Linked DNA regions of Schizosaccharomyces pombe. The gene in region 2 interacts genetically with the main gene of each other region. Each region holds a gene or a part of one and is shown on either strand. Other genes may lie near its edges. The genes, in order: atg9, SPOM_SPBC1348.10C, stg1 and dph6.

The links.
Region 1: mutations in SPOM_SPBC1348.10C (region 2) and atg9 together harm fitness more than expected from each alone (negative genetic interaction), as found in Schizosaccharomyces pombe (one large-scale study listed by BioGRID).
Region 3: mutations in SPOM_SPBC1348.10C (region 2) and stg1 together harm fitness more than expected from each alone (negative genetic interaction), as found in Schizosaccharomyces pombe (one large-scale study listed by BioGRID).
Region 4: mutations in SPOM_SPBC1348.10C (region 2) and dph6 together harm fitness more than expected from each alone (negative genetic interaction), as found in Schizosaccharomyces pombe (one large-scale study listed by BioGRID).

The regions. Positions count from the first base shown.
Region 1 is NC_003423.3:3,022,814-3,027,767, forward strand, and holds atg9 (autophagy-associated protein Atg9), read right to left. Parts: upstream 2,846-4,954; 5' UTR 2,809-2,845; coding exon 700-2,808; 3' UTR 530-699; downstream 1-529. Other genes in the region: NatC N-acetyltransferase complex catalytic subunit Naa30, read left to right, coding at 1-160; SPOM_SPBC15D4.08C (uncharacterized protein), read right to left, coding at 2,846-3,262; met3 (cystathionine gamma-synthase), read right to left, coding at 3,628-4,954. UniProt on the Schizosaccharomyces pombe protein: Phospholipid scramblase involved in autophagy and cytoplasm to vacuole transport (Cvt) vesicle formation.
Region 2 is NC_003423.3:25,641-30,004, forward strand, and holds SPOM_SPBC1348.10C (phospholipase), read right to left. Parts: upstream 2,733-4,364; coding exon 780-2,732; intron 716-779; coding exon 647-715; 3' UTR 515-646; downstream 1-514. UniProt on the Schizosaccharomyces pombe protein: Catalyzes the release of fatty acids from lysophospholipids.
Region 3 is NC_003424.3:2,659,697-2,663,097, reverse strand, and holds stg1 (SM22/transgelin-like actin-modulating protein Stg1), read right to left. Parts: upstream 1,402-3,401; 5' UTR 1,298-1,401; coding exon 773-1,297; 3' UTR 563-772; downstream 1-562. Other genes in the region: SEACAT complex subunit Sea2, read left to right, coding at 2,514-3,401. UniProt on the Schizosaccharomyces pombe protein: Has actin-binding and actin-bundling activity and is a component of the actin patch. Stabilizes actin filaments against disassembly. Cross-links F-actin and is required for the formation of the contractile F-actin ring.
Region 4 is NC_003423.3:771,393-776,011, reverse strand, and holds dph6 (endoribonuclease), read right to left. Parts: upstream 2,646-4,619; 5' UTR 2,533-2,645; coding exon 1,527-2,532; intron 1,486-1,526; exon of another isoform or gene 1,432-1,485; coding exon 617-1,431; 3' UTR 523-616; downstream 1-522. Other genes in the region: syj2 (inositol-1,4,5-trisphosphate 5-phosphatase 2), read right to left, coding at 1-239; SPOM_SPBC577.11 (uncharacterized protein), read right to left, coding at 3,665-4,026, 4,157-4,256, 4,437-4,619. UniProt on the Schizosaccharomyces pombe protein: Amidase that catalyzes the last step of diphthamide biosynthesis using ammonium and ATP. Diphthamide biosynthesis consists in the conversion of an L-histidine residue in the translation elongation factor eEF-2 (eft201 or eft202) to diphthamide.

The DNA.
Region 1 (4,954 bases), 3.0 Mb from region 2:
GAAAAATAGAGGTGCCCAGGAAATTGTTTTGGAAACAGAGGTGGATAATGAGGCAGCCATGTCTTTTTATGAAAGACTCGGGTTTTGTCGCTATAAACGTCTTTATCGTTATTATTTGAACGGCACTGATGCATTTCGATACATCTTGTACCCGAATTGAAAAACAATGCTACAAAATAAAATCGCGGCATTTTCTATGCTCTAAGAAAATTTGTTTCCACTTGTCGCAGTATAAGTGAAAGTTTTAAAGTTGTTCCAATCTATTTATTTTTTTTTATTTTTTTTCTTCTACTGATTAATACCATAAGTAATTGTCATTAGTCGTCACTGTAGCGTAACTCCGTAATTATAACTGTAATAAACAGTGTTTACATTGATTCAAAGAAATTGTACGGATGTTCATAAAAATAATATCATTCCATTAAATGTAAACTTCATTAATAGTAAAACATAAAGTCTACAGCTGAATAAATAAAGAAGCTTCAACGTAAACTGCTAACTCTCCAAACAAACAATCACCATTCATTAAAAGAAATTAGTAAAAATACAATCATTACATGCATTAGTGGCTCAAATTGCCTTGCTAGCAAATTGTTAACACTTCTTATAAACATTGTCCTTCATTTTGTATGACAGAAAAATAAACCATTAAGCCATTGAGACTTGCTTGGTTGTTTCAAGAACTGACTCTCAATTTCATTAACGAAGATCCCTTCTAGGTGCTTCCGTATTAAATTGTTCGTAAAAGCTGATGCGAGAAAGTTCTGGTTTATTTTGAATTAGAGGGCTTATTTTACGTGATTGTACCAAAGAAGCGACAGACTCATAAGGCGGGTTGTCCTGGAAAACAGCGTAACTACAGACGTACCCAACGCCTTCAACGTTTATAGTATGTTCTCTGAAGAAATCCACAATATCTTGACTGCAGGAAGGAAAAGTGAAAAACAACAATACGGGTGTCAGCAAAATTCCAAGAATCTCCCAAAGAAGATTAACTATGCGATATGAATATAGAGAACAGAACTCTTGTTGAACAGCTTTACTATGCATGTTATCAGACCACCATCCTGGCATGTAATGTGTAAAAGTGATTACGCGCCTTAAAGCTTTTTCCGGAGCAAAAACCAAAGTTTCATCAGGTATTATTGAGCGCGAAACTGCTATAAGAGATCCGAAAAGACCAAGATAAAAAAGTACAGATCGATCTTTAGTTATTTCAAAAGTTACCATTAATTCAGGATCAAAAACTGTGATTATTACTAAAATCGCAGTAAAACTTCCTAAAATAAATGATATGTATTTGAATAACCTAATCATGTTAAAGTCAGGGAACTGAGATACATAATGAGATGCGGCCGCATAGCTATCATTAATGCGTTCATCAAAAAAATGTTGTAACTCATTGTATTCACGAAAAGTCCATAAAGCTAATGGAGTGTATCTTCTTGTACTCAACGCGCCTGGATTTTTATGATATTCATTAAAATAGCGGAAGAAATTGTGAATTACTAAGTAAATTGCAACGATTGGCGCAAAAAGGCAATTGAGGAAACCAGCGACGATGAATCGACGACGTAATTCTTCAGAAAGCCTTTTCCGGGAGTTAGGATTTCGAAAAGCACTACGAAGCTGACCTTGCTCATCGAAAACGAAATTGAATATGCACCAATTTATGTTCCATTCCGTGGTATGTGTGAGTATTCTCCTGTGCAAGAGAGGAAGCTCAATATTAATTATTCCATTATTTATCAGTGCAATGAAGTAATTGTCTTTTCTCATTATACGATTTGCAATTGCATAAGCATCCAGGCGTTTCATGTTATGAAGAGACACTACCCTTCCATCCTCAGCAGTAAGAGCATTTACATTCTTTAATTTCAATAAACGATATAAAACCCTTTGCCAAGATACTGTTGGCATATCTGCGGTAGCAATTTTTAAGGCATGAATATAAAACTCACGCATTTGCCATAACCTTGGAATATCAGTAAGATAATATATCCAAAGTGCCAAAAGAAAACTTAAAAAAAGCCACAAAACAAGATACGTTATTGGCGACATTTGTGCAATGCATTGAGACTTTGTGACACCAGCCAGTGAACCATGGGGTGTCACAGCAGGCCAATCTATGCAACTAGTTATGAATGTGGTAAAACCAATAACAAATGAAACTGTCAAAATTTGAAATAGTCGGTGAACAATTATACAAGACAATCCTTTACCAGTGTAGTAAGTATAAACTTGCTGAAGAAAGCTATCCAAATTTTCTACGTTTGCCCATCTCCAAAGAACCCGATCCCGGGCACTTAAACGATTCCAAAGAACGCGAGCGTTGGAAAATTCGTTACGAGGAAGCTGAGTATAAATAGATCGATTAGGATGTCCAGAGCGAGTGACATCTTCATTATAAAAATGGGGATCGTTAAAATTGGGGAGTGCTGGTTTTTGCTTTGAACCATTTTGCAGGTTCCTCAGAGAAGTAGTTTCAGGAAAGGAAGGACTGGGGTGTTTCGAGGGTACTTTTGAAGAATTTCCATGAACAGATGGAGGCTCGTCTGAGTCCAGAAGCTTTCCAGAATACAGCAAATCCGTTGGATTATTCTTTCTTGGAACGCTTTTTACGAAATCGTCATGTTCAGATATTGTAAAGCCGTTGGATTCCTCAAGTGGCGAAGACTCGTCCTCATCACTGTCTAAAGACTCTTGCCATGCCTCTAAAACTTCTTGGGTATTAGGAACATTATTTTGAGCTTCTATATCAGCAAGATCGTCATATTGCTTTTTGTTTTGAGCCGGCTGATAAAACATGATCGCAATTCCACTCAAATTGGCATATGGGTTTTTCTCATGAATCTTTATTATTTTTGCTTAATTCAGAGACCTTTTTTTCTAGTTCTTGTATCCGAAGTAATGCTTTTTGATGACTATCTTTAAGTTTATCTAAGTTGGTCTGTAGCTGAGTTAACACGCTTGTGAGCAGGTGACATGAAGTTTGAATCAACTCGTTGCTTGAAACTGGATCTTCAAGCTCTGAGTCTGTAAGGCGAACAGTACTGTCATCTTCTTCTGGAATTGTTTCTTCGTCGTTAGTTAATCTTGGACGTTTCTGAGAGTGTTTGAGTTCGTCATGAACCTGATCAATCGGACTAGAGGGTGACGCCAAATATGAGTGTTCAAACATCAGCGAGGGGTACTCTGAAAGCATTTCTGGTTCATGCCTCCGATTTACAGATGGAGGAGTTGAAGGAGCCGATTCGGGCATTATGATTTTGGTTTGCACCAAAAGAATTTCTAGCGCGCGCACTTTATTACTGAGCGTTGAGAACAAAGTAGCATACCCCAAGCGAACGTATTGTACCTCGTTGCATCTGTTCCCGAAGTAAACATTTAGACAATGAACTTCCTAAAATATTTCTCACATTCGAAATAGCTAGAAAAACATATCTTTACTACATTTTCCTATCACATCAGGCATATATTTTCTATTTTGTTTAAATATATTTAAGGTAATACCAAAAAGAAAAAACAACAATTTCAAGAATAACTATGACAGTTTCATCTATAACTATAGTTATATGATTGGGTTTTTAAAAAATATCTATTATTTGAAAACAGTTTAGATACAAGTTATGAAAGAGCATTTATAAAAACATTTTTCAGGTGTTCGCTGGGTTCCATTCCAACGCTGACACGAACAAGGTTTCTATCTATGCCATTCTCACCAGCCCAATCCAACTCTTGGTAGTGAGCTAAAATTGCATAGGGAGAAGCCAACGTAAAATTTGTACCAAGTGAGGGACCTTTTGCTACTTGGATTTTGTCGTAAAATTGGCGCGCATCTTCAGGATTGTGGAAAACGACAGACAAAAGACCACCATAACCTCCATTTTCTCTCCGGCAAGCTTCAAAATGCTCTTTTGATGTATTGTATTTGGGATAGTATAGAGTTTTAATTTTAGGGTTTTGATAAAGCAAATTACAAATTGTTTCCGCGTTATGGTTTATCACTTGTGAACGTTCAGCAAAATCTCTGCTATTTCTTTCTAATGTCAAAGCATCCTCATCATATAATAAGTCTTCATAAAGAGCCTTCATAGCATCTTTTATTCGAGAGTAGTAACGACTTGACGGATTTAAAACCATACTACCTCCCATTACATTACTATCACCGCTAAAAATCTTTGTGAGGCTGCTGACAACTACATCTGCTAATGGTAAAACCTCAACGTTGACAAAATTTCCAATTGTTTCATCAACCACGACAGCAAAATCATAACTGTCTGCTAATTTCCGAATACGAACCAAATCGGGAGAGTTTAAAAGAGGATTTGATGGAAACTCACAAAACAATGCCATAACTTTCTCTCCACTTTCTAACCGTTTCTCAAACTCATCAAGTTGCTCGTCATTACCTAGTCCATAAAAGTAGCAGCCAGATCCCCATTTCTGTAAAATTTTTAAGGTATCAACATAACAAAAACCAAAACAAACACTTTTACGGCTATCATCAAGCACCAACCTTAATATGCGATGAGTATTGTAAATAGCACTCATGCCAGTAGGAAATAAAAAAACATCGTCGTGACTTAAACCTTTAACTTCACGTAAATACTGAGACCCTTCTTTGGGTAAAGCCTTTTGCAAATCAACTTCATCTTTTAAGGTACCAGCGATACGTCGTCGAAGAACAAGTTTAGCTGCTGTAGCCAAACTTAAATCTAAATTACGCCCATATCTCTCCTCCAAATATAGGGATACGTCTTCCATTTCATCATTAGCTTGGTTTCCTTCGTTAGTCATCCAAGTATTCAAAGCCTGTAGATCTGGATGGGAAGCATATCGGCTTCTGCTTTTACTTTTGAGATGAGAAATAGACCTCTGGGCAACCAAAAATTCGGAAATAGACTGAATTTTTTTGTAGGAATGCAGAAAAGCAGCTGCGCGTCTGCTTGAA
Region 2 (4,364 bases):
CCAATTGAATATTCCTCTTTTACTGTTTTTTGTACCAAACTGTTGATAAATCTTTCAGCATTTATTTAGTTTCCTTCCTTTAGGAAGTTTCAAAATACAGTAAAATATTTAGTAGTGACTCCTCATATATTGAATTAACAAGTCTCTGTCTTACTTTTAAATGTTTGTAGTCAATTTTATTATTATCTATTTTTTAAAAAACCGGGAGCTTTTAAAACAATCTATCATTTAATGTTCATCATTAGCACAACGATCTTGGACTATTTTTCATTCAACTTGTGATTCCCAATTGTACGTATATATCAATTTAAAGCAATGTTGTATTTAATCGTTTTCATGCTTACATTCTTTCGTTTCGTGTCTTTACGTGAATGCACATCGATCTCAGATTGAGCCAACTAAGCCTGTTCATCCATTCGACCGGTTGCATTTATCTAAAAAAGTTTAGAGATAACAAATTATTCATTTACCCGTTTACATAGCTCCATCAAACGTAAAGGGTTTAACTGAGCAGTCTCACGAATGAGGAAAATCCTTAGTTCTCTTTCATAACGAATTCGTAACCAAGTACAATAAAGGTAAATCTATCTATTCTAAATTTCTCACATGCCTGAGAATCCATTGAAACAACATCAATGGAATCTTTTTACGGATTTTCTTTCGCTTCGAAAATCGAGTCCCACCAATGTTTATGAGTGGGAGTGGCTGATGCTACCTAGAACAAAAGTTAGCGATGAAAAAAAAAATAGTTTAATCAACGTGAATTTTTGAGAACATACAGATGAAGATGTTGTACTAGAGGCTGTACCCGAGGTTGTGCCTGACGGTGCACGAGATGTTGTCGCAGCAGACATTACGGTAGGATCATATACAGAAGCCGTACTAGTTGCAAGAGTTCCGTCCCAACAGTATTCTTGGAAACAAGAAGAGCACTGGGTAGGAGTACTCAATTTCTTGCGTTCCAAAGAGCGTTGAATTATAGCGCATGCTAAGCAAACTGCAAAAGATTCATTATTGTTTTGCGTAGTCGACATAAATGCATTCTCAAGAATTCCATTAGCCATCTTGTCGTCCATGCTCATAGTAAATGTCGATATATTGGAATAATAAGTCCAAGGGTAATTTGGAAAGTATACAAGGAGAGGTGGGGTATTATTGTCTACATCATGATTTCCTGCTGTAGTATTTTTACCGTCACATCCAAAAAACGTAGGACGAGTGTTTAGTCCCAAAGAGATAATAGTGTTTTCGTCCGGAATATATGGAAATCCACGCACATCAACACTCTTGTTCGCATTAAAGGTTACAACTCTCTCATATGTAGCAACAATGGAAGATCCAAGGGGCCAACCATAAGGATCATTATAAGTCGAATCAATCGCAAATACAACGTCCACAAATCGTTGTGGGTGTAACAAAGGCCAAAGGGGAATGTTTTCCCTATCCTCACCACCATCAACTAGATCAATAGTATCATACGGTTCGAACGCATTCACTACAGAGGTATTGGAAGTAGTATAATTTTGGTAAGGATTGGGATAAGGAGCAATATCATCTTGATGCTTAGAAAGATCTTCAAGAATCGCATGAAGAATATCGTAATAGGTATCATTCTTTTTGACATTTTCATTCCAGTCAAGAAGAAAAGAGTTGAATAAAGTAGCTGAAGTGCCCATAACAAAACCTGCATTATCATAGTTATGAATGCAAGACTTATCGGGTGGAACCCCATCCAACAAGTGAGTTCCCACATATTCCATTGGAATGAATGCTTTAATTCCATTGTCCCATGTACCAAATTCATACGCCGTGAACTCAAAGATACTGGTATTGGCAGGGATGGCCGTTTCTTCTTCTAATCGGCTATCCGCAACGATGATGGGATAAGGATAATCAGCATTTTGAAACCAGCTTTGATTTCTCATACTGGAATATGTAATGCCTGGTCCTCCCCTTTCAGCATCAACAAGTTTACGGGACAAAGCACGTCCCCATAAATCCGTCAAAGAACAGTCAAAGCCCGCATGTTTCTTTTGATCAATTTCTTTGCGCAAGTCATTATAATAATTCAAATTTTCAATGACATTATCCCCATGAGGAGCAAAAACGCTATGTTCCAAATTCCAGACATTATCACGTAAGTATGTTATATTCGTAAAATTATTAATAGCCACTGATCCAACAAGCCATGAACCACCAGAAAGACCGCTGATATACATCGCGGATTGCAGCAGACCAGAAAGTGGAGAGTCACTCTCGAATCTTGAGTCAAAAGCATTGAATGCACCACCTCCATTAACCATCGCCCGTAACCCACCACCTGAGAATGCAATTCCTAAACGTGGACCATCCGAGCTGTTAACCACCTTATCCAAGTCAACATTCAAACCTGTCTTAGAAATAAATGATCGGAGTTCACTGTTAACCTTAGAAATACGTTTGTTGATATAGCTCTGTTCGCCCTCATTTAAACCTTCAGAAGCCGGCCTCAACAGATTGTCGTTTGAACAGGTCACATTGAAAGGGGCATACGAAGCGTCGGTACTTCGTTTTACGAGCGCAGGTTTCCTTTTAGACAAAGTGTAAAGTACGGATGTATCAATATCTTGTCCTTTATACGAACTAGATTCTTCAAAATCATATATTTCAGAAATCTCCACACGACCGGGAGGATAAGCTAACGTCAACGAAATTTGAACGAAAGCAAAGAGTCCAATATAGTTGACATACATTGCAGAAAATAAAAAAAGTTCAAACAAAAGCTGTAAAAATTGAAGTTCGCATGGAAAAGTGTACTACACGGAAGAATATTAAATCATATATTACTCTGGCGCACTACACATCTCTGATCCGGAAGAAAGAATTCCGAACTTTAAAAGCCCCAAAATTTGTCGCGTTATCTCAAGATCTGTCTACAAAAGTGATCTTAAATACGAAACAATGCTTGCTGCAAAATTCGCAAACGTTAGGCGGATACAATTTAGTACGGCAAGCTTTTACTTTATGATCAATGTTACCTTAAATTTCTATTGAGTAACAAATGTTACAAGATATGTATGCGAACAATAATACCAGAAGCTGATCGCTCATCATCGAATGGAGTTAATTACTTCGCTTATACAAAATAGTTTGTTAGTATTACGATGCATAATCTGAAATGGGAGCGTGTAAGGGAATGATCTGATGATCACGTATTGATTATAAATATAAGTAGGAGGATGATAGTAGGGACATTCGATGTATGGTGAGAGGCAACGTAATCTAGTGTACTAGCGCGGATACACGAAAAAGAAAACGCCAATAAAATGCATAGCGAATTCATGATTCCACGTTTAACACATTGCATGCATTTCAACTAGCTTAAGTTATTTTGATCTTCATATACTAGGGAGAAATAAGTTTTGTATTTTCGAGTAGTCTTTGTTCATAAATCCTCGCTATTATCACAATTATTCGACTTTCATACATGTAAATATCTTTTCGCTTGACCTCGAGAAAACAAATTTGTTTGTTATTTTTTGCAACATTTGACATTATTTTATGATATGTCAATAGTAGTTTTAATTGCTCGAACGTACATTTGTACTTTTTGTCACACCTGCTTAAGTTGTACATCGCGGTAATTTCTTATTATTAAAGGCCATTAACCTGATTGTCTCTTTAGATCTCTCTTGAATTGTTTGTTTTACTGTATCTTTCCGAAACAGTACATAAGGTTGTAACTTTTCCACACTAATTTCCTAATCATCGTTATGCACAAAACATTTAGCTGAACAAAGTTTGATAGTTTTTGTATGGCAGCTTGTGATGCCTTTTTATTTGTTCTACTTTTTCTTCAAGTTGGAGATAAAAGAGCACTTTTTAGTGATCAATTATGCTTTAGGCTTATAGGTCGTATTTCATTTCCACGATCAATAATTACTTGCTCATTTACCCACATCAAATCTACATCGTGTGCATTGTATTTATATTCTCTACTCATGACTACCAACTATAAGCATTGAACAAGAATATGCTGTTTCTAATATTTGTCATTGTAGCCAACGTCGTTTTGGACTTGTTTCAAAATGATAGTGCTAATAATTGCATTTATATTTAATCATTTTTGGATTCATTTTTTTCTCATTTGCTTGATTAAAAAATTAACATTATTGTTGAATATTCTTTTACTGCTAATCGCCGTTTAGTATCGCTTTTATACTGCCGTTCTGCTTCTCGACATTATGCGACATAAACTTAACTTTTACAGAAATATTAATCTCACGAATTATCTACTCATACTATATTCCTATATTGGTATAAATCTTTTTTTTATCTAATTTTTGAATTTGTTAATCAGCAATTTGATCAACTTCTATTCATGA
Region 3 (3,401 bases), on a different chromosome or scaffold from region 2:
ATTTGTTACACTTTAAATGTTTAAAAACTTATTTGTTTGATTTCTTTTAATAACACTAATGTCTAAACAAATGCAATACATGCAATTTTATTATCTACTTTGTTTCTTGCAAAACTGGTCTACCAGCATTTTCTTTTGTATACAAGCTTTAAAATTTTTATTTAATTTCTGACTTGAGTAAATTTTAAGCAAACAATTTTAACAACATCTCTAGTATTTCTGCAATTTTCAATGTACATACATTTTTTTTTTATAATATCTCACAAAACTATTTGTAAATACGTTTACCGACCTGCTTATCATTTAAGAAATTGAATACAAAAATAACAAAATAAATAAATAAAGTGTGCATTTTTATTAATCACTGATACTTCCATAACTAATTTTTGCAACATTTTTTTTTTTCTCTGCAGCTTTGTAAGGAAACGCTCATGAAACAATGAATTGTCGTATTGCTTTTTTAAGTCATTTGATACGACGAGAAATCTAGCAATACAGCACCAAACATAAGATTTTAAATGTGTTTTCAAACTACGAATCAAACTATAATTCAATTTATGTTTTAGTGTCGTAAAAAAAACATATCATTATGAATATTTAAAGCAAAACTTAAGCTTCTATATTTATACACATCTTTTACAAGACCTCACGTTTCACTCCTATTATGGATTCGGCAGATTTTACGAATGAATGAAAATAAATAAGTTATCAAAAAGTACAAGAAGCGAAGATATAAAGTTATACAATCTTCAATCTCTTTCCCTACACAAGACTAATACATATTTCCGGTCGGGTCCCTGCGTCTAGAAAATGCAATCTTCTCGGTTCCCTGTGTCGGCATATCAAAGCTTCCATACTGAAGACTATTTACGCCTTCTCGAAACTCACGCTGCTGCTGTGCTGAGAAAACACGAGGCTTCTTCTCTGCCAATTTAGGACCCAAACCACGAACTTTGCCGGGAAACATTTTCGCGGCATAGCGCGAAAAGGAGTGAATACTTCTTAAAACCTGTTCATCATTTCTCCGCTCAAATAAATCAGAAGTTTGAAACATATCTTGTGAAGGAACATGTACAACTTGCTGTGCATAGTTAATGAAGGCAGATATGTTTTCCATTTGGACAAAAGGCATGTTAGATTCTTTGTATCGAATGTTAGCGCCTAAAGCTTCTTTGCAAATTCTGCAAAGAATCACCCCGGATTGTAATTGATCCAGTAAGTCTAACTGAGCATTCAATTTCGTATGCAAAGTTTCTTCGATCCATTCTCTTGCTTCTTTTTCAAGTTGAGACGTCATTTCTCACGAAAATTTAAATAAAAATAAAGAAAAGTTCCAAGAAATTATATCACGGAACGCCCAATGACAGTTTGGTTTTTCAGAGGTGGTTAGTGAAAAGCGGCTTCGTATAAGCCTGACGAGTGCCATCTTAATTCAATGTGTAGCAACTGGACTTAATAGATCATTTAGCGTAACTCCAGCTACGCAATTCGTATCTGAGTTTAAGGTACAGTAGACTGCGTAAACTCTTTATCAGCAAACTAACTCTTGTACGGTAAACTGATGATTTGTTCTTACTAATTAGTACTATATAAAGTAGAGTCGAATTACTTTGCTTCACAATTCGTTTATGGAATGAAGACTTGTTTATTTAATTTCGAAAGCATCATTATATTACAAAATACAAACCGACAAGGTACTGCAAACCGCTTTTTCGATTGACACTGTGCAACTGACATTGGACTGACCGGCTTTGCTTACTTATATCGTCATATATAACATGTTATCTTCATATTTAATATTGTAGCTACTATAACTCTACGAAAGAAGCATTGAAAGATAAGCTCAACAGTACCATTCTTTAAATGTTGTAAATCAGCGTAAACGAAATTTTAAATCATAAGTCATGTATACGCGACAAATGCCATAGTAAAATGTGAAACCTATATAATGAACTCTACAGGAATGCAGTATAGCGTTACAGGATGCAATATTGCTGATTCATAGCGAGATTCAGAAGTAAATTCACAAAACCAAACTTACTAGAAGCAATAAGCAACTGAACTTCGTAAAAATAAATTATATTTGAACTTTTATTCTTTTGAAAACTTCCGATGTGTAATTGTTCTGATTGAATTTCCTCAATAATTGAAAATTCGAAAGCTCTTATTTGTTCACTAACATTGGACTTGATATTTACATTAGCAGAAACTTTTCTTACTGTTAGTTGCTCCTCTACTTTTCTACTTTATCTTTTTGGTTAATGTATCAAAACAAATAGTTTGATAAAGAATAGTCTACTTTTTTCTGACTTTTACTATTGAACGATCTTGCAACGTTAATTTTACCAATGTACGGTGAGTGTCACCATACTTGCATTTCACTTCAGCAATTTCTTTGACTTCCTGTCCGATATTTAAGAACTTGTTTCCTTTTCTGTATGCAAATTTCCTAAATCATTTTAGAAGGCATCAGCTGCTACTCTACCAGCTTCATTTTGTTTTCAAATTCGTAAATGCCTTCACGAAACTCAAACGTCCTTCAGCGACCTACTTATGCCCAACTTGCTAGCACATCTGTAAAGTCATCCAAAGGACTTGTTAGTTACCAAGACTGGGTTGTTGATGTAAAGGCCTCCATCAGTGCTATTTCGGTAAATAAAAGCCGTACAAAAGTGGGTGTAGCAGGCCGAGAGCTTCTAAAAGTTCTAGCTGTTAATCCAAACTCTTCAAAGCCTCCTGTTTGCATCTCTGACCTTCTACAAAAATCAACACAAACAAAGCACATCTCTTGCAATGATGTAAAGTGGGGTAGTAGTTTTGCTTCAAATTTAATTTTTACATGTTCACCGCTTGGTAATCTCAATGTATGGGATGTTAATTTAGAAGCCCTTCTCTATGACTTTAATGAGCATTCTCGAGCCGTACATAAATTGGATATCTCTTCATTTCACCCGTCTTACGTTTTAACAGCCTCTCAGGATGGGTTAATTAAGCTTTGGGATTACAAGGAAAGCTCATCAACAATCACTTTTCGTGGAAATTCTGAAGCTGCTCGAGACGTCGTATTCTCCCCTTCTGAGCCAAATGAGTTCGTTGCCGCTTATGACAGTGGGATCTTGCAAAAATGGGATATCCGGTTTCCAAAACTTCCTTTTTTAAAATTAGCTGCACATAATGGTGTTGTTTTGTGTGTTAATTATAGTCCTAATGGTGTTTTTTTAGCGTCATGCGGGAGAGATAAGACTATTCGTATTTGGGATTCCACAAGCAACAAAAAAAAGTCCCTTATAACTATCAATAATGTCAGTCCCCTCAATTGTGTTCGTTGGCGACCGGCTAATCAGCAATCGAGAGGTTCTAATCAACTTGCAAGCTCTTCTCTTGTAGGTGATACCGCAATA
Region 4 (4,619 bases), 750 kb from region 2:
AGGAAAACGCCTTCTTTCATATCCTCACATACATAATTAAACAACCCAAGGGTTCCCAATATCTTCTCTCCTCCAAAAAGTAATTCATATTCCTTTATCTTTTCGAATTCTTCAAGTGAGATACAAGTGAATGTTATTATGCAATCAGAATCCTTAACAGACGGTTTTTGAATAATTGCCGCATATTTCTCTGTAATAAATGCAACAGATCTTTCTTTTCGTTTGAGATAGCACTGCATGGCAGGAAATAAATATATGCTTATTTCCTGCTTTGCGTGGATGGTAGACACTAAATACGTAGATATACTGACGCAGTAAGGAGATACACATAGCTAGCAAGTATTGTAGATTTCCAGTGAAAAAGTTAAATTTAAGCGTTGAAACAAAAGGAATGTCCTGAAAATATTTATTTAATCGTATTGGTTGAAAACCTGATAAACTTCAGCTTGTTATCATCAATTATATTATACAAATTGCCAAACTACCGAATATATATGCGTAAGAAATACGCTTTTTAGCGTTTTAATTTGGCCTGTATATATGAAAACAGTAAAAAAAGTTGTGTAAAAGCTAAGTTCGACCATTTCATTACAATCTAATTCCTATGTACATTAAGTTATACATTTTGATCTCTAGCTGTATAACGCACGTGTAATAACTGAGAATTTGGAAATGCATTGTTCAATACGATAGCATATGCGGAAGGATGTTCATGATGAATAAAGGAGGACTCCATTCGTAAACCATTTTGGTTCAATAAGGCGACATCCCATGCTGTATCAGAACCAAAAAGCGTTTGATTTGTAACGAGTGAACTTAGAAGTGGAACATCACAAGAGCTATCATTGTAAAGCAATTGCCATTCTACTGAGGCATTCCTTGGTAAGGCATCAACCAACGCAACCAAAACAGGACTTGACTCCCCAGTATTTTTTGTATATTCTGACCAAATTTTAACAACACAATCCGCATCACGAGAATCACAAACATATGCCAAGCATGCTATGAGTGAACCTACTCGCATTGCTTTTGCAACACGATTTGCGTGTTGAAGAGCCAGTACCATCTCAAATATTTTGTCATGAAGTTTTAACTCCATAACTGATGGTATTAAACCAATTTGTCCAGAAATGAAAACAACACCATTTGCACAGATCGACTGCGAATATGGACCAATGTTGGCTGGCGCCCAATAACTTTGCCCTTGAACATGAAGCGCTCTTTTCTCGGTTACATCTCCAACAATACAGGACATGACTATCCTATACTCACTAGCTAGAGGAGCTGCGACGCAAGACCGGGAAGGTGGGTTCGTGAAATCAAAATATTTATTGTAAACAGAGTTAAATTCTGCAAACTTAGACATGGAAGATAAAATGACGGTTACAAAGTAAACATTTTTGTTAGAATATCCATATGTACCAAGCAGTTCTAGGAAGTTAGTATTCTAGCGGTTTAAAGGAAATGTTCGGTGGCATAGCCGAATCAAGAATATGATTAACGAAGACAATCAATATGTAACTTACCATTTAAGTTGTTTATAGCAGATTCAGCTTCACCTTGAAACGTGTTATAAGATCCTTTGGTAGCAACCACATTACCCAATACTAAAAATGAGCCCTTTTTTTGCTGAAAGGCGCTTTCACGAAGAGGAATTGGGATAAGAGAAGTAGGCGTCTCCTCTTGATCGTCAATAAGTTCGTATTTTTTAGATATAGTATGATAAATATGTGAATATTCTTCCCCAAGTAATTCTTCATTTGGAACTAATTCACTTTTCAGCGAGATAGGTTGCCATTCAGGCTTATCTTTAACACAGGCCTTAACTTTCAAATAACAGACTTCCCCAGAAGAATGCTCAACAACCTCTTTATCAGTCAAAACAATTCGCTTCTTGAACAATGGGCAATCTAAAACCAATGTTTCGTATTCACCTCCTTCACCGCAAGGATGCAGTTCGAATTTTTTATTTAGGGTAAGAAGTTTATCTTGCATTTCAGCTAGAGATTTCCCCAAATCCTTCCTCGTAAGGCCAATTGCAGCTACTTTGATCAAGATGGCATTCAAACCAGAAACAACCATATCGTTGAGTAATTTTTCCTGATCTTTTTGCCAAAGAAAAGACAAGCTTTTCAAACCTAACCGTTTGCAAACATTTTCTACTCGAGTCCGTTGATATGTGGAAAGTATAGCGCCGGTAGAAACGGCTTCGAGATCTGGATGATTTGTCAATACACGCTTTATGAGTCTATATAAGTCTTCTGTTTCATCCTTTTCTGTAAATTGATAATCCAAGTTTTGATTGATACTTTGTCCACCGATTTTCTCTCGATATAACGGTAGATCGAAGCATTCAGCATACAATGGAATTACATCGTGTCCAACACTTTGGTACATGAAAGAGTCAATCTCATCTTTACCATCTTCAGGATGAAGATTTGCTAGGGCTACTACTTCATGGCCTAAAGAGACGCAATGCATCAAGTTGAAGCAGCTATCCTTTCCACCGCTGATTAGCCCTAAGACCTTCATTAATGGTTTTTCTTAACTCTAAAATACTTGTAAATTTCCCTATTTTTCAGTTCAAGCTTTCTTCGTGTTTGTATATGGCAACATTAATTGTTTACTTCAAAAACATATATAAATAACGACATTACTACAATACGGTATTTATCAATGATCAAGATATATTGACTAAATAAACTAAAAGAACTCGAAATCTAATAATACAAATTAAGACAAAAAATTTAAATGTTAAAACTTTATGCTTGAAACCAACACGTAAAGTATAGCTCCGATCTCCACAGTAACGTAGGATGAGGATAGAAAGGTTCATGATGAAAAGACGCTTGCGGCTGAACATAAACAAAGCAATCTTCCATTAATGAACAATGAAAGGAGAAAGAACTAAAAATTAGCAAAGATATACTTCAGGAATATAACACTATCGCTTTATTTCATCATTCACAGCACTAAAACCGCTCAGCAGTTTGTGCAAATTAAAGTGAAGGACGAAATAAAACAGATAAAAAAATTACTGCCAAGGAAAAAAAGAGGCAGAAAGAAGAGCAAAATTAAGGGTAACAACCAACAAAAACCGGCAACGATGCATAAAAAAAACCTAAATGCGTTTATGAAATTACCAGATTTCAAATAGCAATTGATAAAGCATGTACAAGCTAAAAAAAAAATAAACTACAATTTATGAAATATAAGACATCATAAACTGTCTATTTGAAGTATTAAATAATTGACAACTTGATCTTCTTTTAATAACAGGCAAGAATTCTACGGACAGAGTCCCGTAGTGTTAAGCTTTAATGAAACCAAACATTTAAAAGGGCTGAGAAACCTTTTAACCTTCTAGGAAAGATTCTGGTTCCATAAAACACATATTAAAGCAATAATCAAAATAAATAACAAGTTTAATCTCAAAAGCAGATAAGTTAAAGTACTGAAGGACTTACGAAAACAGAAGGTAAAAGGACACAGACATCAAGTGGCATTCTAATGCATGATTACTAATAATCCAAGGGCATAACTCGCTGAGTAAAAGATAGGCAGGTCACTGCGATGAACAAGGAATGGGAAACTCTAAAGTAAAAGATGAAGCTCTGCATGCGAAATGGTATTAAGAAACTTTTGAACAACAGCAAAACTTTTGCTATCCTTTACGAGGATACGTTCGATTTAACCATTCATTGTAAAGCTTCACCTGACGCACCAATGATTTTGTAAACGTTGTATCAGAAAACAATCCAGAAAACATACTTCCATAATCATTACGGACAGCGCAAATCCATAAAACACCCTCTTCCTTACCATCTCCGTCCAGTTTCTTAGAAACAAAGTCAACAGAGTCATAAAGAGCAACGACACCATTCCCTCCTCCACTGGAGGAACCTGGATATGTAACTGGAGTTTGAAGAACAATAAAAGAATCCGGGTCCAGCATCACAGAAACCACCAATTGTCTGTAAACTCGATTCCGAAAGAACCAAGGGGTTTTGTACTTGTACATCCAAACTGAAACAAATGTGAGTAATTAAATACAATAATAATGGTAAATATAAGCAAATAATGTATGCTTGAAATAAAAATTTTTTCATCCATGAAGGAAGATACATTACTCGCTTAAATGACATTTCAAACGTACTCTCAATTTCATCCTCGATAATAGTTTCCAATTGATGTGCTGAAAATACCAATGGATCATAATCAGCTTCCTTTTTGATATGTTCGTATAGCAATCCTTTCTAAGCTGTTGTTAGCATTTAGTGCGATGGATGAATAGGTTGAAAAATCGATTTCTCAAGTTATCAAAGGACTAATGTTATTCCTATTTTATGGTATTAGAGTCTCCAGTACGTTGTATATACAGAGGTAAATTTTGGAACCATTTTACAAACCACTATCCAACACTTGTAAGAACTTACCTTGAAAGTTTTCAGGGAACGTGTATGTTTAGACACCCTACCATACCATGTATGTCCAGTATAAGCAGGTGCCTTTTCGTATAGCGCAACTCCATCATGATTTCCAAGGTGTTTCCATTTAGGAATTTGTTCGACAATTTTCAAGGCGTCCTGAACGATCCTCTCTCTCCAACTCTCAAAATT